5 linked regions of the Callithrix jacchus genome follow. The protein of the gene in region 2 binds, or shares a complex with, the protein of the main gene of each other region. Links are inferred from orthologs where the notes say so. Each region holds a gene or a part of one and is shown on either strand. Other genes may lie near its edges.

Region 1 (4,153 bases), on a different chromosome or scaffold from region 2:
TCCTGTTCATCTATCTTTGGGAGAGTGGGGGAGGGGGATATTAGGTGCCTAATACAGTGTGGCACTGGTCTCAAGTGTCTATAACTCTGAGACTCCTTGGAACACAATCTTCAAGAGCCTGTGGCAGTGGGGTCTGGGCTACAGAAAACCAACTTCTTTTCATGGGATCCTGCCTAACCACTTGAGAGGAAATGGGGGCTTTACCTGCACTTCTTGGTAACAGGGACCCTGAGAGCAATGGGAAATGTGTAGACTGGAAGTGGAAAGTGGATTATAGCTCGAAATTCCTCTTAAGGAGTGGGGTATTTAATTCAATGTCAGAATTGTAGAGGTTTGTGTATTCAAGAATGCCCTAGGCAAAGATCATGGTCACCTTGACTTCTTCTACTGGGTGCTTTCTAGGGAACATTCTTAAGAATGTTCACTTTGGTAAGTGAACACAAGTGAGAGGCTGTGAGAAAGGATCACCCTAAGGTTGTAGTGGTCCACTGTCTATGGAAGTAACTCCAGGGATCCTAGCTTCAGCGAACGACTCCATAGACAAATAGGCTGTGTGTTATCACGAACTCAAAGCTTAGTGCAACCACAGAAGACAATGCACTGTGGCCCTAGAAATAGAAAGGAGAATTTATTTTCCTAAGTGTGAAGCTTTGCAGGCTCTACATACAGCCTGTAATGTAGCCCTGCATCAACAGGGGTGGGCGGGGGGAGGAGAGAATGAAAGCAAAAGAGCATGCTGGCTGCCCCCTAGATAACGGAAAGGTTCAGTGTAAATAGAGAGGGCTTGGATAATTCACTCTGACATCTTACTACTATGTTTTTCAACATGATAGTGGTTAGATATTCCTAATAATTTTTTTCCTTTTATTTTCATAATTTTCCTTTTGGCTTTCTATTATTTTGTATTATTTTTACTTTTATTTATTTTCTTCCTTCCCTCCATCTCTCCTGCCTCCCTCCTTTCCTTTCCTTTCCTTTCCTTTCCTTTCCTTTCCTTTCCTTTCCTTTCCTTTCCTTTCCTTTCCTTTCCTTTCCTTTCCTTTCCTTTCCTTTCCTTTCCTTTCCTTTCCTTTCCTTTCCTTTCCTTTCCTTTCCTTTCTTTCTTTCTTTCTTTCTTTCTTTCTTTCTCTTTCTTTCTTTCTTTCTTTCTTTCTTTCTTTCTTTCTTTCTTTCTTTCTTTTCTTTCTTTCTTTCTTTCTTTCCTTTTTTCCTTTCCCCTTTCCCCTTTCCCCTTTCCTTTCCCTTTCCCTTTCCCTTTCCCTTTCTTTTTCTCTCCTTTCCTCTTTTCTTTTTCTTTCTCTTTTTCTTCCTCCTTCTTTTTTTTCTCTTTTGCTAGTGAAGAAGAATTGGATTGGTCATTTTCAGAACAGGGAGCCTACATTGATGCACAGATCAGCAGCATCCTTGTTGGAGTGGCTGTCACATGAATTCTTTGGAGATCTCTGAAGAAAACAGAAAGAAACTGAAATGGTAGGTTCTAAATATTTATGCACCATTAGCTCTCATCTGTGCATTTTTCCCTTAATATCTAGAACTGGACTCTTCACGCAATATCTGTACAGCTTGTCAAGTCGAAGGACATTTATGGATATAATGAACTTGTACCATCCTTAAATGTTATTTTTTTTCTGGTATTTGCACAAACAAAAATAATTGTGTGGTGGGCTGCCAGAGGAGGGAGGCAACTTTAAACTTGGGAAAATATGTTTGACATGGAGAGATTTTTAGTAATGTGATTAGCTCAATTGATACTCAATAAAACATTCCTGTGAACATTTGCAATTTAACCTGTTTTATATTAAGTAGAGTTGCTTACATAAAGATGCAGGATAATTTTTATCTACTTGTTGCTATTACTCTTCGGGAGTGCTATGTTTATCTTCTGCATAACTAAACTGGTTAACTTTGTGTGCTTTTCAAAATGAGCTATTATTTAAAAAATGAAAGCAATAATATTTCAGGACCTAACATATATGCATGTTCCTATAAGCTTATGTAAGCTACTTATTTTCACTGTAAAAGTTAAAAGTTAATTGTTGTAATTAATGATAGATGTAAACATTCTGTTTTCAAACACATTTAAGAAAACTTGTTTATAATGAGAGAAAGGGAAAATAAGAAATATAACAGTCATAGTTGGTCTGTTTTTCATAGATAAGCTCTACCTACTATAGTAAGTAATCAGCATATTAAAAAATCAACAATGGTTAAAATGATTTTGAATTTAATTTGCATTTCTTGATACTCAAAATGGACTTATTTTGACAAAATGTAAGTGCAATTATTTCCTTGTTTGCCTGTCGTTTCTTTTTTGTGCTCCAAGAGAAAATGTTTAGGATGGTGCCTTTTGACTTTAAATCATATAATGACACTATCAATCATGTGTAACTGCTAGGAGCTGCATTCAGAGACTAAAAGAAACAAAGTCATGAATTCCTGCTTGAAAGAGAGATGGAAATGAGGAGGGATGTGGTACAACATGACCCAATATTAAATCTCAAATAACTTTCCTGCTCCTTCCTCCTGTCAACAGTAATATATACAAACTTCATTTTATACTGTTCTAAATTTTCCATAAAAGAAAAAGTGATAATTTTATTCAATAAGCAGAAGTATATGCTTTAGAGAGCTTTGGGTCATTCAGCAAGGAGTATTTTATTTTTCTTTTAGCTTCTGTATATATCAGGTATAAAAACAAAAAAATATTGAACTTTTAGAGAGGATTAAAGTTCTTCCACTCAGGGCAAGATTATACCAGTCACACTGGCAAACATTTGAATATGCCAAAAAGTTTGTATCCAAGGAAGATATACTTTTAGTTACAGATAATGTGCTTTGCACTTGTGAATACATGTACTGCTCTGCTTTGCTATATGTTTGTAATAATATTTTTATGAGACAGGAACCACCTAGTGTATCTATTTTGTTGGGGCCAGTTTAATATTATGCTGAATAATGTAAAGATTAATAAACACAAAGTGGGTAATAAATTGCTCCAAATATCTCACTGAATTTCACCTGAAGAGCCCTAGGAATGAATGCATTTCATGATCCCCCTTTGTGCTAGGTAACCGAAATGAAGAAGACAAAAAAGCATACCTTCTGCATTCCACTCATAGATACTTTTGGCACCAATCAGCTACACAGAATCAGAAAGGGAAGTAAACTCCTTTTCCTGATCTCTCTCCAATCCTGATAAAAGGGGGGCACAGAAGGTTCCCCTTCCACTGCCCATTACATTGATCCCCCTAAAGTCTTCTTTCTATGCTATAGGTCTCAAGGATCAGTCTCTAGATCCCAAGTCCGAGAATAAGAAATTATCAGAAACAGTTTCAACTCTTGTCACTTCAGAGCAATGGCAAACATCTAAGATTTTTATACTTCGGGAAATAAAGTAGTTTCATAGCATACATCGTGCAGTTGGAAAAATTGAGACTCACAGCAGTGAAGTGACTGGGTCAAGTACCTCTGTGTGTGACAGAGACAAAGGTAGAATTCAGGCTTTTTCATACCTTGTCCAGTGCTCTGTTCATTTTTCCTTGCTGACTATCAAGGTTTGTGGATTAAAAGACATGCATTATTCATTGGGAAACACTAAAAGATTTCATGTTGAGAGCATTCAAGAATCTCTCAATAGCAGGGCACACTTCAGGCTTCTCCTAAGGGCCCTAATACTGTAACAAGCCTTGAGTTTCTGAGCTTTACCACTGGTTCCTTCCAAGAATAGGAAAGAGTTTTTCCTACTGTGCTTATAAAAAAAAAACCCCAAATGCAAATTGATACTACATGCTGTAATACAAGATTAACACAGACCAGGACATATATTGGATGCTTATGTGCTGTATTGAATATCAGAGCAACATTATGGCCAATTCATTAGACAAGAGGGAGTATTTAGTAGGTCCTGAGGTCTAGAAGATTCCAGATTTGAGAAAGGAGTCAAGATTTTAGGGTTTCTGTCTGACATAAACAGGCATATGTGGTCAATCAACTAAGGTTAGAGTGTGTGGAAGATAAATATGTACGGTTACTGGTAGTATGTGAATCCTGAAAAGGATACAGTAATTAGTGGATTGGCTATTACTGTTTGTCATATAACTAAGTGCTAGCTGATATTTGAAAATTAAAGTGGGTTCTTCTGGTATAGTCTTTG
Region 2 (3,500 bases):
TTCCCACGAAAGCCTGACAAAAGGAAACAGTAACTCATTGTTTTCGCTGTAGACAAGTCTCTTCCTTGTGGGCCTTACAAACGCATCCATCTTTCCAGTTCCCTGCTTATAAGCCACTCTCCCCAAGAAGGGGCCTAGACGTATATGTTTGGGCTTGAACGGTTTTTTTTGTTCCCTAAAAATAGTTCTTTAGGGAGCCAATGGTGTCATGCATCCAGAGGAAAGTCTTTTCCATGTGTTCTATTTTATGATGTATTTTTGAATTACAATTTAGATATATTTAAACATTTTTTTAATAATGAGAAAAGATTTCATTTGCCCAAAGACCAGGACTGACTTTAGGAAACTCTTAATAAATATGAAAAGGTCACCTGTTTAAAATGAGAATGTCTCCCATTTGGCACTTCACTGAGGCATCCCAAGGGAACTTAGGGCACTTCCAGTGGAGTAAATGGACAATTAGTATTTGTGCACCGTATTTAACATACAGGTTTGTTTGTCCTAAGATGTGAATAATTAAGCCTACCGTAGCTCAGGAACTATTTTCCTCCTAAACATTTACAATCTAATAAAATGAGATTGTAATATTAAAGAGTGATGTTTATTTGTGATGGATGTCACTGAAATGTGTTTTGCCTGAGGTGTGGTTTGAACACTTTTGCCCATGTGCAGGGCTGTCACTGATGTTCTTAGAGGAACACTATGCTCAGGTGAGTGGATCTCAGGCCACATAAGTCGGGGTGTAGCTTACAGGAGGGAAGTCGAAGTCAGGCACGTTCATCACACTCAGAATGTAGTCCACTCTGAACTGGTTCTCAGGGTTGGCCAGCTCCACAGGGGGTACCAGGTTGCTCATGGCGGCCACAATGGTCTGAAAAGGATTGAGCAAAGTGGTCAGGGAGCAGTACTGGCTGGGAGGGGCTGTAAGACAGAAAGTGCAAGGAGCCAGCACGTACTTCGATTGCCTCTTTCAGGTTGTTTTTGATGTCCTGCACTTTGGTTGCCTTCTCACTGCAGTGGGATTGAAAAAAGAAGAAAATCATATTGCATCGTGTCAATTGAGAGTATTGCTTGCATAAAGATATTCCGACTACAAAGCATAGTATTCTGTTCTTCAAGGAGTTGTGGGTTCAGATCTGTGCAAAGATTGGAGGTAGCTCAATAGACATGGCTGCAAATTGTAACCTCCCAAATGTGTCCGGAGGACATGCCCAATGGGACAGATGAGCAAACTGCCTTAGCAATCATGACTGTACCAAAAGTTGCACACAGGTCACCGACTCTTTCAGGTGGTCCCATGGGCTTGAAGCCCCATACTACATACTAACACTTCTGACCCTGTCAGCATCTGGGTAGGGGTGAGGCTGAAATGACAGGTCACTAAGAGTTTGCAGTGGAGCAAAACAGTCCCCTATTTTGATGTAAAATTCACTCAGTTGCTAGATTAGCATACTGAGAGAACCAGTGAGCACAGGTACTGGTGTTAGTAATAGTTCAATACAGGGGCCTGGGCACTCGGTGACTCACGCCTATAGGGCAGATTGTCTGAGGTGTGGAGTTTGAGACCAGTCTGGCCAACATGGTGAAACCCCATCTCTACTAAAAATACAAAAAAATTAGCAGGTTTGGTGGCATGCACCTCTAATCCCAGCTACAGGGTGCGGGAGGCTGAGGGAGGGGAATTGCTTAAACCAGGGAGGTGGAGGTTGCAGTGAGCCTAGATCATGCCACTGCACTCCAGCCTGGATGACAGAGCAAGACCGTCTGGGAGAAATAAAAAAAGGGCCAGGTGCCATGGCTCATGCTTGCAATCCCAGCACTCTGGGAAGCTGAGGCAGGTGAATCACGAGGTCAGCAGTTCCAGACCAGCCTGGCCAACATGGTGAAACCCCATCTCTACTAAAAATATAAAAAATTAGCTGGATGTAGTGGCACGTGCCTGTAATCCTAGCTACTGGGTAAACTGAGGCAGGAGAATCACCTGAACCTGTGAGGTGGAGGTTGCAGTAAGCAGAGATTGCACCACCGCAACCCAGGCGAAAGACTGAGACTCCATCTCAAAGAAAAAAATGGTTCATTACAGGTCTCAGGGCTTGGCAGCAAGTCACAGGTGTGCTGCTCCGGGCGCTCAACTAGCAGCAATGAACTTTCTAGTTTATGATATTAGTGCATGTTGGTCCATGTGCATAGGTATCAAATAAGATTCCACCCCCTAGATGTTCTTATACTCTATGGGGGAAGGGGCCAGATCCCTCTGGTAAGTAGAGGTTGAAGGTTTTGTAGCTTTTCCTTGACTTTATCTCGGACAAATGGGATGGCCTGTGTGGTCTTTACGGAATGATCTATATTCAGGGTCACTGGTCCTACAGGTAAAGGCCACACCCTCTGGCTTCTGGGGACCCTAATGTTAATTTTTGTACCAGATTACACTGATCCAAATGCCGTATGTCTTTCAGAAACTAGCCTTCTAATATAAGCACAGCCAGGGAAGGTTCTGGAGTTTGTGTTTTTAGGGGGGGCAAGAAAGGGCCTCTCGGAGTGTCTCACCAGGTCTACAGCCCAAAAATGTGCAGCACACCCAGCACACCTGCTGTACCTGTTAGGCCCTGGGAGGTGAGAGCATTGTTGTACAGAAGGAAAGTGCTATGGTCCTGCCTCTCTGATGGGGAAAATGAGGCGCGGGGCGGGGGGGGGGGGGGGAAGCCTTGATTTGCAGAGGCAGAAACTGATGGGGGTGGGAGATACAGGGAATAAAGTTTATCTTTTTCACTGTATTTTTTTTTTTTTAATCTTTTGAGATTCCCAGTTTTTGAAGCATTCACTTGGCTGATGCGCCAATTCATAGAATGGAGGTAGAAATTAAACATATAATTCCCTCCAGACTAGAACATGACAAAGTCAAGGTAGAGAAGAGGAGGAGGGAGGTTAATTAGAAACAGTGAACGAGCAGGGCAGGGCGGTCAGTGGGGAAGGAGGGGAGGGGATGGATGGTGGGGTCAAGTGCAAGCCTGCCCACAGGCCTTCCATAAATAATGTGGTCTTCCCTTTCTCAAAGAACTCTACTCCCGAATTTCCTTCTGAATTAACGTCTGCGTACTTATTTGAGGGAGGCTTCACAGGTCTCCGAGCCACTGTTCTTCTACACTGAAGAGCTGGCAGAGTTCAGAGGGGCCATGCTCATTAGTGGAGGTGGGTGTCTGGGGAAGGGAGGCAGAACAGATGGTGCCAGGAATCCCCTCAGGGCCATTTAAGTAAAAGTGGTACAGGTCCAGAGAACCTCAGAAGCACAGATGACAGGGAGAGGTGAGCTTCGGACCTTGTGCACAAATCTGAAATCTGATTCGGGCCCCCACACTCTTAAAGCAACCACCATAAAGTGAAAGGGACCAAGTCCTCACCGCTCTGTGGGACTGTCTGCTTTGTATGTGCAGAATCGAACGAAGCTCATTTCTAAATTTAAGAATTTCTGGCCTTGGTATTACAGTCTAACATCAATTATT
Region 3 (3,980 bases), on a different chromosome or scaffold from region 2:
CTCCTCCCGGTTGCCACCAAGCTATCTCACCTCCCCCTTTTCCTCCTCTGTGGGCTCCTGCTCCCCCGCCTTCCCCCGGCGGCCCCAGAGGACCAGCCAGCTCCGGTCTGCTCATTAGGGATGAAATGTGATCACCACTCCTCGCTCCCCACCTGGTGTCTTGGCGGCCAGCGGAAACCAGGGGGCAGCCGGGCCACCCTAGCCGCCCCACTGCACCTCAGTTTCCCCATTTCAACCGAGGGGGTCTCTGTGCCCCCCACACCCACACTGCCCATCAGGGATACCAGTCCTTAGACTGCCTCTCTGACATCCTGGGTCCCCACGGTTCTGCGATCTTCAGGTTCTATCCTTAGTTCACTCTGCAGTTGAATGTTCTATTAGAACATCCTAGAGTGTTACTCTTCTTTCATTCTATTTATTACATCGCGGCTTTGGAAGCACCTACCCTTCTAAGTTTCCAATATTCTAGAAGTCTCACATTCCAAGATTCGAAAGTTCTATTGTTAGAATGCGCTATGATTTTTTAAGCGTTCTATGACTTTCATCATCTATTATTAAACCCTCAGTGATTTTTATCTTTCCCCGGGAAACAGTAATACGTATTTCCCTTTTCTCTTTTACAGAAATGGGAACGTACACTAAATACGGTGAGCCCCACTTCCTTTTCCTCCCCCCGCTTTTTCTTGTATGCTTTTGAACATTCCAGCAGCTGATTTCTGAGACTGTGCAGAATTCTAAGAAACTGTGGCTTCACAGAGGGAAGAGAAGGGCGTGTTAGTTACCACCTCCACCTGGCCCCTAAATTCTAACCACCTGCAGGGGACAGGAAGCATCCAGGCCCCTCTCTACCCTTTCCCTAGTGGGCCTAGCCTCAGCCCTCCCCGCTCACACCAGCTGAGTTATTATTTGTCTAGACACAAACCAAATTATAGGCCCTGTCCCCGAGGGAACGGTGGGCTCCAGGCGGAGGGTCAGGAGACTGAGGCTGGAGTTAAACCCGCTTCCCCTCCACCTCCCTCCCTCTCTTCCCAAAACTCCACCCCTTCCACCCAAACCAACTCTTGCCCCGCTCCCTCCCCACCATGGTTTTAGAAATATTTTCTCTCCTCTGCTTCTAAAACCCTCCCTTTTGGATTCCAGCCATTTGTACTCACCCTGGCGTCTCTCCCTCCTCATTGAGACCTCTTTCCCAAAATTGATCGACTTAGTGGTAGCAGAAGAAGCCAGCTCTCTGGATTTGGGCCTCAGTTGAAACCTGGAGTCCCAACCCTCCAGCCTGGCACTGACTCACCATGGAGACGTCTGCTCTTGGGCCTCAGTTTCCCCATCTATAAAATGGGAGCAGGGTGGGGGGTTGTTGGCCTAGATGGCTCCACAAACCCTTTCCAGCTCTCAGCTGCCAGCACTGAAAAGTGCCAAGATTTCAGCACTCCTCTTTTTGGATTGAAGGACTGCAGTATCCCGAGGACCTTTGACTGGAAGGATCTGGAATTCCCAGGCCTCCCCTCTGATCTTTCTTCCATCTGGGCCCTTTCATTCAAAGATGCTCGCGTTCAAGGTTCTTGATCCTATGATTTCCCAGAGTTCCAGGAGCCCCCATGGGTCGCTCATCCTCTTCTGCTGGGATTCCCCCAGAGAAGAAAACCTCCCCATCCTCACCCAAACCCGAAGTCAAGTTCATCTACAGAGACAGAGCTGGGGGTGGTTGCCTTCTTGATGGGTTCAGGAGGAGGAGGGCTGATGGTGGGCTTTGGAGGGGCTATTGGGGGGTGTGGCCCCATCCTCTTAATTTCTGCGCCAAATTCCCCAATGCGTATCCAGCCCGAGCACGCACACACACATCCCACAACTGATGTGTCACAGATATTCTAGAGCTGTTCCTCAGCCTAGTTTGGGAGGGCAGGTTGTCCAGTTCCAGGGGGGAAGAGTAAGGCGGAAGCAGGAAAGAGTTAACGGTGACCCAGCCAAATCCTGGAAGAGAGGAAGTAGGGGAGGAAGTCCACCCCCCAGCCAGGAATTCCTGAAATTGGCAGGCGGGGTGAGTGCAACCTCAGGGGCAGTGGGGTGGCTCCATGATGGGGGCCATGGGGTCAGAGTCCGCCTGCCGCAGGTCACAAGCCTCCTGTCCCCTAAGTTCGACTCCCAAGCAACTTCCCAGCCCAGAGGAAAATTCCGGGATGCCAGAGGTTTTGGAAGGAGAAACGACAGACTTGAAGGTGCCAAAACAGGGTTATAAGAGACGGAGAGACAGAGTCAGGGCAATAGAGAGAGACAGAGAAACAGGCAGGGAGAGAGCAAAGAGACACACAGAGACAGGGAGAGATGGATTCAGAGGCAGAGAGATCCACAGAGGTCCCACAACAGACGGGGGACAGGCAGAGGCAGGGGCGGGGGAGGTGGCACCCAGAAACAGAGACAGAGACAGACGGAGACAGAGACGCAGAGATCAAGAGATAGACAGAGACATCCCAGAGACACAGAAGGAGAGACAGGTCCAGAGGCAGAGGGACCACAGACACAGAGACCTCAGAGACCTCAGGCGTGACCTGGAGACCCGCAGAACCGAACCGAGCAGAGCAACAGAGGGGGCGGGCACCGAGACGGCGCAGGAGACTGAGGCAGCCCCCGAAGGGGCGGGAAGGAGCGGTCCCGTCACGAGCAGGGCAACCTAGTGAGACCCGGCGGCACCGCGGGCGGCCGGGGAGGGCCCGGCTCTTACCTGCGCACGGCGGCTGGACGGGGCGGGCGGCAGCGCCTCTCAGCTGCGTCCTAGTCCGGGCTCGACGGCGGCGCAGGGACCCAGCGGATGCCCCTTTGGGGCAGAACAGCGGCGACTCCTCCCGGCCCCCAGGCTCCAGCCGCCAGCCGAGGCCCCGCCCCGCCCAGGCCCGCCCCCATTAACCCCACCTCTGCCGCTGCCCCTTAAGCCCTTTCGGGCTTCACCCCACTCAACGCCTCCAGCCCCGGGGGAAGCTCATCTGCTGCTGGAACACCCCCCCCCAATCCTTCCAAGTCCCCCAGCGGGAAGGTCCCCTCTCTCTAACCACACCCCAACTTTAACAAGCCCTGAGATATGGGAAGAGGAACCCCCCCCCCCCGCCCCTCCGCTACTGGCCTTCCCTGGATTAAGCCCTTTCCTCCCTTAGAGACCCCAGGCCTCCGTCATTCATCTTCTGGTCCTTAACCTTCTGCATCATCCCCACCAAGGGAGAGAATAAAGAGTTCTGTTAGGTCCCCAACTCCAAAGTCAGGGCCACCCCTAGAAGGAGCTCTGGGGTTGCGGTTACAGCCTGTCTCTTGGTCAGACCTTAGGCTAGGGACATCCCCGTGCCTGTTTCCTCTTTGAATCAAGGTGGTCACTCATGGTGACTGCTTGCTTTTTCCTTTCTTCTCTTTCTTTCTTCCCTCCCTCCCTCCCTCCCTACCTCCCTCCCTCCCTCCCTCCCTCCCTTCCTTCCTTCCTTCCTTCCTTCCTTTTTTTCCCGAGTTTTGCTCTTGTTGCCCAGGCTGGAGTACAATGCCGTGATCTCACCTCCCAGGTTCAAGTGATTCTCCTGCCTCAGCCTCCTAAGTAGCTGGGATTACAGGTGCCCACCACCATGCCCAGCTAATTTTTGTATTTTTAGTAAAGATGGGGTTTCACCTTGTTGACCAGGATGGTCTTGATCTCTTGACCTCGTGATCCACCCACCTTGGCCTCCCAAAGTGCTGGGATTATAGACATGAGCCACCACACCCGGCCTAATTTTTTTTTTTCTTTTTTTTGAGACGGAGTTTCACGCTTGTTACCCAGGCCGGAGTGTAATGGCGCGATCTCGGCTCACGGCAACCTCCGCCTCCTGGGTTCAGGCAATTCTCCTGCCTCAGCCTCCTGAGTAGCTGGGATTACAGGCACACGCCACCATGCCCAGCTAATTTTTTTTATATTTTTTAGTAGAGATGGAGTTTCATCGGGTTGGCCAGGCTGGTCTCAAACTCCT
Region 4 (4,224 bases), on a different chromosome or scaffold from region 2:
ATTGCATTCTGCACTTTCCTTTCATTTTAGGCATGTAATCAGGATGTATAAGTGAAATGTTGTATTGTGTGTTTAATGTAGTTGCTTAAAAGTCCCATTCTTTCCTGCTCAAATGAGATTAAATTTGTTTTTCTTGTTTAAGGAAACAGCTTAGAAAAAACCCATGTAAATATCCTTATTTACAATTATTTAACATTTGGGAATGGAAGATGAAATACTATTATTTTCTGCAACAAAAGGTAAATTTACGTAAATGTGTCAGTTCCAAAGTTCAGATTATGGCAGCACAAAACCAACACGTGTGAAGGTTTTTGTCTAGCTTTATTACAATGGCATTCCCAGATAGGACTTGTGAATGACAGACGTTTCAGGCTTTAAAGGGAGCTACAACATATAATAGGCTTGATATATAAGGTTCAGAGCAAAGGAGGACACTAAAATAAATTTTTAAAGTAAATAGGAAAAAGATAAAACTCAGTGCTACCTTGCCTTTTAATAACCGTCTTCTCTTTCTAGAAGTTGTTGGATTTCCTCAATACTTGCTTAATTTCTGCATAAGGGTTTCTAGGTGGCACTCTAAAACATTTGCCGGAAGGTGGCGTCATAAACCCTCATTGCTTAGAGCTGTCCCAGGTGCTGAACTCAGTTTCTGTGGTTAACAGAGGCTAGGCGGTTAGCGAACAGAGATTCAGCAAGTTTCCCCCAGCGGTTTGCAGGCTCTGGTAAGAAGTGCAAAAGGCCATATAAAATGCCAGACTTCACTCAGAACACATATGCAAAATATTTCCATCTCTGAATTTGCTAGCCACAAAGGTATGTTCCCATAGCTATGTTCCCATGGTGTCACTGAAATTGAAAGTGTAGTAGTGATGGAAAAGTGTGTGTGTGTGTGTAGAATACATATCACATTGAGTTTTGTTCTTTATTTAGACATGCAGTTGTTTACCCCTCCTTGTCCCTTGTCCTTTGCCACGTCCTTTATAATTTCATTCTCTCCCAGCTCCCCAAGGTTAAAAAAAAATGTCACAGGCAATATCCTCCTGAGGGAGTCAGGCTGGACTGTTAGATGATAAACTGAGGTACTTTCGTGTTTGTTTGTTTGTTTGCTTTGAGACGGAGTCTCGCTCTGTCACCCAGGCTGGAGTGCAGTGGCGCGAGAACGGAGGTAGCTTTTTAAAAACGAAGACACACTCTCTCTGTCTTCTTCCATCAATTAGCAATAATTGAGAGACTGACCCAGGACTGTTCACCTTCCCATTCAGGCACCCTGTGCTTCCCTATCTCATCTCCTATTGTCACTCTGGGCTGCTGACACTATTTAAGAATTTGACAGATAATACGTGGCAATGAGTAGTTAGAATTTCCTCTTCTAAATACCCCCTCCCCAGTTTGGGTTGGAGGCGGAGTTTATTTGTTACAGCCTTGGTCTGACCGGCAGGGATCCGGTGTGTGCAAGTGAGTTCTGAGTCTCTTTTGACAAAAAGGGACTTGAATGCAAAGACGCAGAGCTAGAGGTATAGGAGGGCGGGGACCCACAGAAAAGAGGCACTCCTTGGGGTTCGGGAAGTGTTAGGAGGGGAGGGTTAGAGTGGGAGGGAGGGAGCCTGGCTTTCGAAGCGACTCACAGGGGGATAAATAATGTGGGGTGAGGAGGAAGAGGCAGACTGAAAGGAAGGCAAGTGGGGAAAAGGGGAAAGAAAGAGGCTGAAGAGAGAGAAGAAAGAGGAGGAGGGAGAAGGAGAGGGGGAGAAAGGGAAGGAAGGAAATAGGGAGAGGAGGGTCACTCAGTGACCGTGGAGGATGGGGCTTCTCGGTTCTAGATATTTCTGGGATTGGAGACTATTTACTCGTGGGAAGACTCCAGCTCCGGCAGCCAGTTGGGAAGCGGCAAAGTAAAATGGACAGCGACAGACAGACGTTCCAGCCACCTCTCCACCCCCCAGAGATCCCGGAGCTGCTTTCAGGCCAACTCCAGTTTCCCAGCTAGAGCCTCTGAACGCCTTGGACTGCGCGAGCCCAGGGAGCGCCTGAAAGCTGCTCCTCCGGGATACCTTCGCCGGAACAGTAAGAACTTCCTGCTTGGGTCCTTGGATTCCCTTCCTCCGAAACTTCCTTGGAGACTGGGCGGAAGACCCCAGGGGAAGGGGCGAAAGGGATCTTCGCTCTGCTTTTTCTTCCTTCCTCTTTCCCGCGCGGGGCTCACAGGCATGGATGTGCTCAGCCCTGGTCAGGGCAACAATACCACATCATCCCCGGGTCCCTTTGAGACCGCCAGCAACACTACTGGTATCTCCGACGTGACCTTCGGCTACCAAGTGATCACCTCTCTGCTGTTGGGCACGCTCATCTTCTGTGCGGTGCTGGGCAATGCCTGCGTGGTGGCTGCCATCGCCCTGGAGCGCTCCCTGCAGAACGTGGCCAATTATCTTATTGGCTCTTTGGCGGTCACCGACCTCATGGTGTCGGTGTTGGTGCTGCCCATGGCCGCGCTGTATCAGGTGCTCAACAAGTGGACTCTGGGCCAGGTCACCTGCGACCTGTTCATAGCCCTCGACGTGCTGTGCTGTACCTCATCCATCCTGCACCTGTGCGCCATCGCGCTGGACAGGTACTGGGCCATCACGGACCCCATCGACTACGTGAACAAGAGGACGCCCCGGCGCGCTGCTGCGCTCATCTCGCTCACTTGGCTTATTGGCTTCCTCATCTCCATCCCGCCCATGCTGGGCTGGCGCACCCCGGAAGACCGCTCGGACCCCGACGCATGCACCATTAGCAAGGACCACGGCTACACTATCTACTCCACCTTCGGCGCTTTCTACATCCCGCTGCTGCTCATGCTGGTTCTCTATGGGCGCATATTCCGAGCTGCGCGCTTCCGCATTCGCAAGACAGTGAAAAAGGTGGAGAAGACCGGAGCGGACACCCGCCGTGGAGCATCTCCGGCCCCGCAGCCCAAGAAGAGCGTGAATGGAGAATCGGGGAGCAGGAACTGGAGACTGAGCGTGGAGAGCAAGTCAGAGAGTGCTCTGTGCGCCAATGGCGCGGTGAGGCAAGGTGACGACGGCGCCGCCCTGGAGGTGATCGAGGTGCACCGGGTGGGCAACACCAAAGAGCACTTGCCTCTGCCCAGCGAGGCTGGTGCTACCCCTTGTGCCCCCGCCTCTTTCGAGAGGAAAAATGAGCGCAACGCCGAGGCGAAGCGCAAGATGGCCCTGGCCCGAGAGAGGAAGACAGTGAAGACGCTGGGCATTATCATGGGTACTTTCATCCTCTGCTGGCTGCCCTTCTTCATCGTGGCTCTTGTTCTGCCTTTCTGTGAGAGCAGTTGCCACATGCCCACCCTGTTGGGCGCTATAATCAATTGGCTGGGCTACTCCAACTCTCTGCTTAACCCCGTCATTTACGCATACTTCAACAAGGACTTTCAAAACGCGTTTAAGAAGATCTTTAAGTGTAAGTTCTGCCGCCAATGATGATGGAGGAGTAGCCGGCCAGTGCGGGGGTTACAGGATCCGCCCCATTCACTATGCTTGGACCAACCCTAGGGAATCAACACCTAAGATAACTTGCTACTTCTCTTTCTCAGCTTCTCTGCCCGCGGCTTGCGGACCTGGTCCCCTCCCCATTTCCCGCACCAGGGCAGGGCGCTTTGTGCAAAGGAGACCCAGCGACGGGGCATGAGAGACCAGGAAATTCAGAGAGTTTGTGAAAAGCGACATTGGCCCAGACTTTGCCCTTAGCATCAGTTTGATCTCAGCAATTGCCTCTTCTCTCCTCTGTGCCCTAAATCTTTGCGATGGATGTTTAATCCTTAGCTATTCAAGGTAGAAAATCCAAAAAATAAAAAAAATTGATAAACTGTACACACAGCCGCCGCGCCCACTAGGGGCTCCACCCGATCACCCAACTCCTAGAACTTGGACTTGAGGTTCGGGAATTTGCTCCATCTCTCTCGCCCTCTGGCCCTTGAAATATTCACTTTTTTCTCCCCGTTTTTATCCTTTCTTTTCTTTCATTGCTTCCTTCTCGCCCGTCCTGATGCACTAATCTGCTGGTCCGCAGAGGCGGAAGAGTCTGCTTTTCCCAGTGCCAACGGTGCCCCTGGGATTCCCGTCTTCGCGCAGACTTGAGACAACTGTCGTGCAGTGCACAACCCCTGCTTCCTTTGTTTCCTTTGAATCAAAACGAGTGACCAGAAGGTGTCTCTCAGAGTGGACTTGT
Region 5 (4,098 bases), on a different chromosome or scaffold from region 2:
TTTTGAGATATGTTCCATCCTAGTTTATTGAGAATTTTTAGCATTAAGGGGTGTTGAATTTTATCAAAGGCGTTTTCTGCATCTATCTCAATTTTTTTACTTTTTAATAATAACCATTCTGACTGGTGTGAGATAGTATTTCATTGTGGTTTTGGTTTGCAATTTTTAAATAGTGTTAAGTATAATAATAACCTATTTCAGTCCTGGTTTCACAACTCTGTAATTATAGGCAAGTTATACTTACTATTTCTAGTATCTGCTTTCTTCCTTTGGAAAATGATAATGATGATACCAACTTCATATAGTTTTAAGGTTTTTATAAAGGAACAGTATATAAAGCACATAGCACAGTGCTTAGCATATAGAAAACACTCAACAAACATTTTCCATTTTTATCTTCATTTTCCTGCTGTATTTTAATTCTGAAATAATTTATAAATTATTTGAAAATCACTTTAAGAAAAGTGCTAATCCCATAAGAAATATGTTTAAAATAGTGACTGTTTTCCTGTAGTAAGTCAAAATAATCAGAAATGTTTTTAATGTCCATCAAATATTTGATTTTAATTTGCATTGTTCTAATTTAGGTATGTGTAGCTCAAGCACTTAGAACAGATTTTTTTAACTATTTGACCTTTTTTTCATATTAGGATAAAAGGTGGATAAGCAATGTTTCTATTTATTCTAATTTCTATGCTCTTTTGAGATTATATTTGACCTTCAGTATTTCTCTGAATAGATTTGGGTACAGTAGTGTTAGTTCTATTGCTGTGTACAGTTAAATACATCGAACTCAGCAATTTTTTGTGGGTATGGTGGGGATTGGAGAGATTAGTAAATGATTTCTAACTTCTGTTAATTAAAATATAACTGTATTTTAGAGAGAAATTAGTAGTCATATCACTTGAGTTCATAAAGACTTGGCAGATTTTTAATAATTAATAAGTTTTTTCTGCCAAAGAGCATTAGATTACTGCTGACTTTTTAGTGTCATAGTGCCTTGTGGTAATTTCTTTACAGGGTTTACAGGAGTATGCCAGTTTATTTTTTCTGTCCTGTCCATACAAAATAATCCTTTCAAATGCTATAAGGAGAATAACTTGAGAAGTTCATAAATGCCTTAATATATTATAAAGATCGGTCAGTTCCATTGTCTTCTTTTGTCAGTCTTGATCGGAGCTTGCCGAGTAAGTCTATAAGCCTGCATGTGCCTGGCAACTGTTACCTAGTGACAGTTTCAGCTGCAGTAGCCATTGGCTGTGCTGTTGATTGGGGCAGGAGGGCCGAGTCACCTTTCTGATGGTGAGTTTTTCTGCATCAGCCCAGGATGATGATGAGGAGGAGGGCCTGGGCTCAGGTGGAGGCATTGATGCTGAGAGATTGTGAAGAATATACAGACAGCATCCTTGTAACTGCATCACAGTAAATCGGACTTCTGAATCAAGCAGCCCAGCCTAGCAGCTGATAAGAGTGAATGTAGGTGAGAAGCATTACCTTATTCCTATAACAAGAGAACTATTTTGTGATAGGTGAAACTAGGAATTTACAAGAAGAAATATCCTATGGCTATAACAAAAGAAGAAAGACTTGCCTGAATGACTTGGTGGTGCACCAGAAAATAACTTTCAGAAGAATGCTTTCTATTAAGCTGCTGCATTGTTCCTGGAGGAAATGTTTTCATTTCTAATGCATGTTATTTCTTCAAAAGATAAGATAACAAAGAATGACAAGAGACTCTCTGAAATGACTTTACTTTTAAAAAGTACTTTGACAAATGTTAACCTGATATCAGAATGACCTTGGAAGCATTTTGGATGGATTCTATCCTGCCAGCCTTGCAATATTTCAAACTCTAGGATTTAAACTCATCTTGATACTTTAGAGGTATTTTAAAATAACACTATCTTGCAACCTATCTAATGGCCCCCGTATTAATTGAGCACTTGCTCAAAATAGAATACAGAAATAGAAGAGGCATTTTTTAACATATGGCTGCTACATAACTGCAAATGTAATAAACAAGGTAATTTTCCACTTTCAGAAGATATAGTTAAAGAAATGATTTAATGTGTTAATCATCTACTGAAAATAGAAAAGATAGCAAAATAGAATATGAAGTCTGTTAGAAACACTGAAGTAATAAATAATGGCAGCATTTCTGGTCAGATAAGCTCAGAGTGTATCGGAAAGTTTTATTATTGTCTAACTTTAATATGTATTTACATATATATGTGAGAAATTGGTGTACAGTTGCAAAGGTGAGAAATAACTATGAGCTATATATTTTATCATGCTCTGTTATAAGAAAGGTGGTATATCAAATAACAAACATTATTTTAAGTTGTATGTGCAAATTAATAGCAAAAGTGATTTCTTTTCATTTTGAAAAGGAAGAGGTATAATTTAGTACCACCAGTAACTGTAATGTACTAAAACTGCTTTCATCTAAATGCTTTAAAAATGCATGCAGAATTAAAACTTCAGAAGTTTATTATATTTTGCCAGGTGTTAATTCATTAGTTCATTGTATATTATCTTTTCTATTGGAAAAATACTTTTTTCTCATGGAGTTATAGGGTAATCTGGAGTCTGTTTATTCCCCCTACTCTACCCATGTCGAGATGAATCTTTATAAATTAACTTTGATAGAGTTGTTTTTCTTAGATTTTAGAAAAATGAGAAATAGATTATAGAGTTGACCCACCAACATCAATCCCTGAACTAAGCCCAAAGACACTCTTTGCCACAATGAACTTTTTCTTAGCTTTTCAACCAAATTTGAGATCTTAATTATTTAAAGTCTAAAATACGAATGCATTTTTCATCATAGATGAAGCAGGAAACCTGAGACAGTTTAAGAGTTTTTCTTTTCTCATTCTTTCTAGTTGATCCCTAAGAAACTGCTTCTTTTAGGAGAACAAACAGCCCACAGAAGCTTTTCTTCCCTTGGCATTTTTTTTCTTTTTACAGATTTAATTTTTCATAGTGCAAGATAATAAGAAGTCTGTTTTCTCTAGAAGTGCCTTATGTCTGCAGAAAGTTCTTTGAGGGCACCAGAGGAAGCTAATTAGTGACCTCTTTTCACCTCCTTTCTAACTTACCCCCTTCTCTCTACCTCCCGCCCCCTGAAAGCTGAGGTGTGTCACTGCTGAACTGAGGCTGATGAAGAGACTTGAGCACTCTCTGGGACTCTCAGCTGTGACAGAAGCACTGATACTGTCTACTGAAGCAGGTTCTGAAACACTCATGTGCAGTGTTTAACAGGACACCTGCTTGCTGTAGCCAAGTCTGCAGGCATCTTTAATTTCCAAGCCATGAATGAATCCAGGTGGACTGAATGGAGGATCCTGAACATGAGCACTGGCATTGTGAATGTGTCCGAGCATCACTCCTGCCCACTTGGATTTGGTCACTACAGCGTGGTGGATGTCTGCATCTTTGAGACAGTGGTTATTGTGTTGCTGACATTTCTGATTATTGCTGGGAATTTAACAGTTATCTTTGTCTTTCATTGTGCTCCACTGTTACATCATTATACTACCAGCTATTTCATTCAGACAATGGCATATGCTGATCTTTTCGTTGGAGTTAGCTGCTTGGTTCCTACTCTCTCACTTCTCCACTACTCCACAGGTGTCCACGAGTCATTGACTTGCCAGGTTTTTGGATATATCATCTCAGTTCTAAAAAGTGTTTCTATGGCATGTCTTGCTTGCATCAGCGTGGATCGTTATCTTGCAATAACCAAGCCTCTTTCCTACAATCAACTGGTCACCCCTTGTCGCCTGAGAATTTGCATTATTTTGATCTGGATCTACTCCTGCCTAATTTTCTTGCCTTCCTTTTTTGGCTGGGGGAAACCTGGTTACCATGGTGACATTTTTGAATGGTGTGCCACCTCTTGGCTCACCAGTGCCTATTTTACTGGCTTTATTGTTTGTTTACTTTATGCTCCTGCTGCCTTTGTTGTCTGCTTCACTTACTTCCACATTTTCAAAATTTGCCGTCAGCACACCAAAGAGATAAATGACCGAAGAGCCCGATTCCCTAGTCATGAGGTAGATTCTTCTAGAGAGACTGGACACAGCCCTGACCGAC

Evidence for each region. The genes of interacting proteins can lie anywhere in the genome.
Region 1: the proteins of guanine nucleotide-binding protein G(s) subunit alpha isoforms XLas (region 2) and GPR174 are in contact, whole or in part, in a cryo-EM structure (PDB 8IZB), measured with the Homo sapiens proteins. The link is inferred for Callithrix jacchus from reciprocal best matches to the Homo sapiens genes GNAS and GPR174. Residues at the interface, in NP_000507.1 of Homo sapiens: Lys34, Gln35, Arg38, Ala39, His41, Val217, Phe219, Thr350, Asp354, Gly355, Tyr358, Cys359, Tyr360, Phe376, Cys379, Arg380, Asp381, Ile383, Gln384, Arg385, His387, Leu388, Arg389, Gln390, Tyr391, Glu392, Leu393, Leu394; in NP_115942.1 of Homo sapiens: Phe44, Tyr47, Arg53, Ala54, Val55, Ile56, Phe57, Met58, Ile112, Arg115, Arg116, Phe119, Leu120, Met121, Pro123, Phe124, Phe126, His127, Asp128, Cys129, Gln131, Ser211, Leu212, Asp214, Met218, Gln220, Asp221, Leu222, Glu224, Lys225.
Region 3: the proteins of guanine nucleotide-binding protein G(s) subunit alpha isoforms XLas (region 2) and GPR4 are in contact, whole or in part, in a cryo-EM structure (PDB 8Z9O), measured with the Homo sapiens proteins. The link is inferred for Callithrix jacchus from reciprocal best matches to the Homo sapiens genes GNAS and GPR4. Residues at the interface, in NP_000507.1 of Homo sapiens: Gln31, Lys34, Gln35, Arg38, His41, Asp215, Lys216, Val217, Tyr358, Tyr360, Phe376, Arg380, Asp381, Ile383, Gln384, Arg385, His387, Leu388, Gln390, Tyr391, Glu392, Leu393, Leu394; in NP_005273.1 of Homo sapiens: Gln45, Arg49, Asn50, Leu52, Asp114, Arg115, Ala118, Val119, Ala120, His121, Pro122, Leu123, Arg124, Arg129, Arg130, Lys132, Tyr201, Ile204, Ala207, Val208, Gly210, Ser211, Val212, Ser213, Thr214, Glu218, Lys221, Ile222, Leu225, Asn290.
Region 4: the proteins of guanine nucleotide-binding protein G(s) subunit alpha isoforms XLas (region 2) and HTR1A are in contact, whole or in part, in a cryo-EM structure (PDB 9GL2), measured with the Homo sapiens proteins. The link is inferred for Callithrix jacchus from reciprocal best matches to the Homo sapiens genes GNAS and HTR1A. Residues at the interface, in NP_000507.1 of Homo sapiens: Ala39, Asp215, Lys216, Val217, Arg342, Arg347, Thr350, Ala351, Gly355, Tyr358, Phe376, Arg380, Asp381, Ile383, Gln384, Arg385, His387, Leu388, Arg389, Gln390, Tyr391, Glu392, Leu393, Leu394; in NP_000515.2 of Homo sapiens: Asn69, Ala71, Asp133, Arg134, Ala137, Ile138, Pro141, Ile142, Tyr144, Val145, Asn146, Arg148, Ile218, Ala222, Arg225, Ile226, Lys228, Thr229, Lys232, Val233, Asn325, Arg327, Asn328, Lys332, Arg339, Lys342, Thr343, Thr346, Leu347, Asn404.
Region 5: the proteins of guanine nucleotide-binding protein G(s) subunit alpha isoforms XLas (region 2) and GPR52 are in contact, whole or in part, in a cryo-EM structure (PDB 8HMP), measured with the Homo sapiens proteins. The link is inferred for Callithrix jacchus from reciprocal best matches to the Homo sapiens genes GNAS and GPR52. Residues at the interface, in NP_000507.1 of Homo sapiens: Lys34, Gln35, Arg38, Ala39, His41, Lys216, Val217, Phe219, Tyr318, Pro321, Arg342, Asp343, Leu346, Arg347, Thr350, Ala351, Tyr358, Cys359, Pro361, Phe376, Cys379, Arg380, Asp381, Ile383, Gln384, Arg385, His387, Leu388, Gln390, Tyr391; in NP_005675.3 of Homo sapiens: Tyr74, Arg139, Ala142, Ile143, Thr144, Pro146, Leu147, Asn150, Gln151, Thr154, Pro155, Ile226, Phe227, Ile229, Cys230, His233, Thr234, Glu236, Ile237, Arg240, Arg243, Phe244, Ser246, His247, Tyr263, Ala264, Met265, Phe268, Arg269.

What each region holds. Positions count from the first base shown.
Region 1 is NC_133524.1:77,055,756-77,059,908, forward strand, and holds the start of GPR174 (putative G-protein coupled receptor 174), read left to right. Parts: upstream 1-1,353; 5' UTR 1,354-1,470; intron 1,471-4,153. UniProt on the Homo sapiens protein: G-protein-coupled receptor of lysophosphatidylserine (LysoPS) that plays different roles in immune response. Plays a negative role in regulatory T-cell accumulation and homeostasis.
Region 2 is NC_133506.1:54,470,950-54,474,449, reverse strand, and holds part of guanine nucleotide-binding protein G(s) subunit alpha isoforms XLas, read right to left. Parts: intron 1,016-3,500; coding exon 957-1,015; intron 872-956; coding exon 752-871; intron 1-751. UniProt on the Homo sapiens protein: Guanine nucleotide-binding proteins (G proteins) function as transducers in numerous signaling pathways controlled by G protein-coupled receptors (GPCRs).
Region 3 is NC_133523.1:39,768,748-39,772,727, forward strand, and holds the start of GPR4 (G-prodeshotein coupled receptor 4), read right to left. Parts: upstream 2,801-3,980; 5' UTR 2,720-2,800; intron 1,329-2,719; 5' UTR 1,155-1,328; intron 1-1,154. UniProt on the Homo sapiens protein: Proton-sensing G-protein coupled receptor activated by extracellular pH, which is required to monitor pH changes and generate adaptive reactions. Activated by an optimal pH of 6.8-7.2.
Region 4 is NC_133503.1:145,656,266-145,660,489, forward strand, and holds the start of HTR1A (5-hydroxytryptamine receptor 1A), read left to right. Parts: upstream 1-1,424; 5' UTR 1,425-1,455; intron 1,456-1,661; exon of another isoform or gene 1,662-1,820; 5' UTR 1,821-2,207; coding exon 2,208-3,476; 3' UTR 3,477-4,224. UniProt on the Homo sapiens protein: G-protein coupled receptor for 5-hydroxytryptamine (serotonin). Also functions as a receptor for various drugs and psychoactive substances.
Region 5 is NC_133519.1:28,618,049-28,622,146, reverse strand, and holds the start of GPR52 (G-protein coupled receptor 52), read left to right. Parts: upstream 1-1,298; 5' UTR 1,299-1,480; exon of another isoform or gene 1,481-2,023; intron 2,024-3,132; 5' UTR 3,133-3,314; coding exon 3,315-4,098.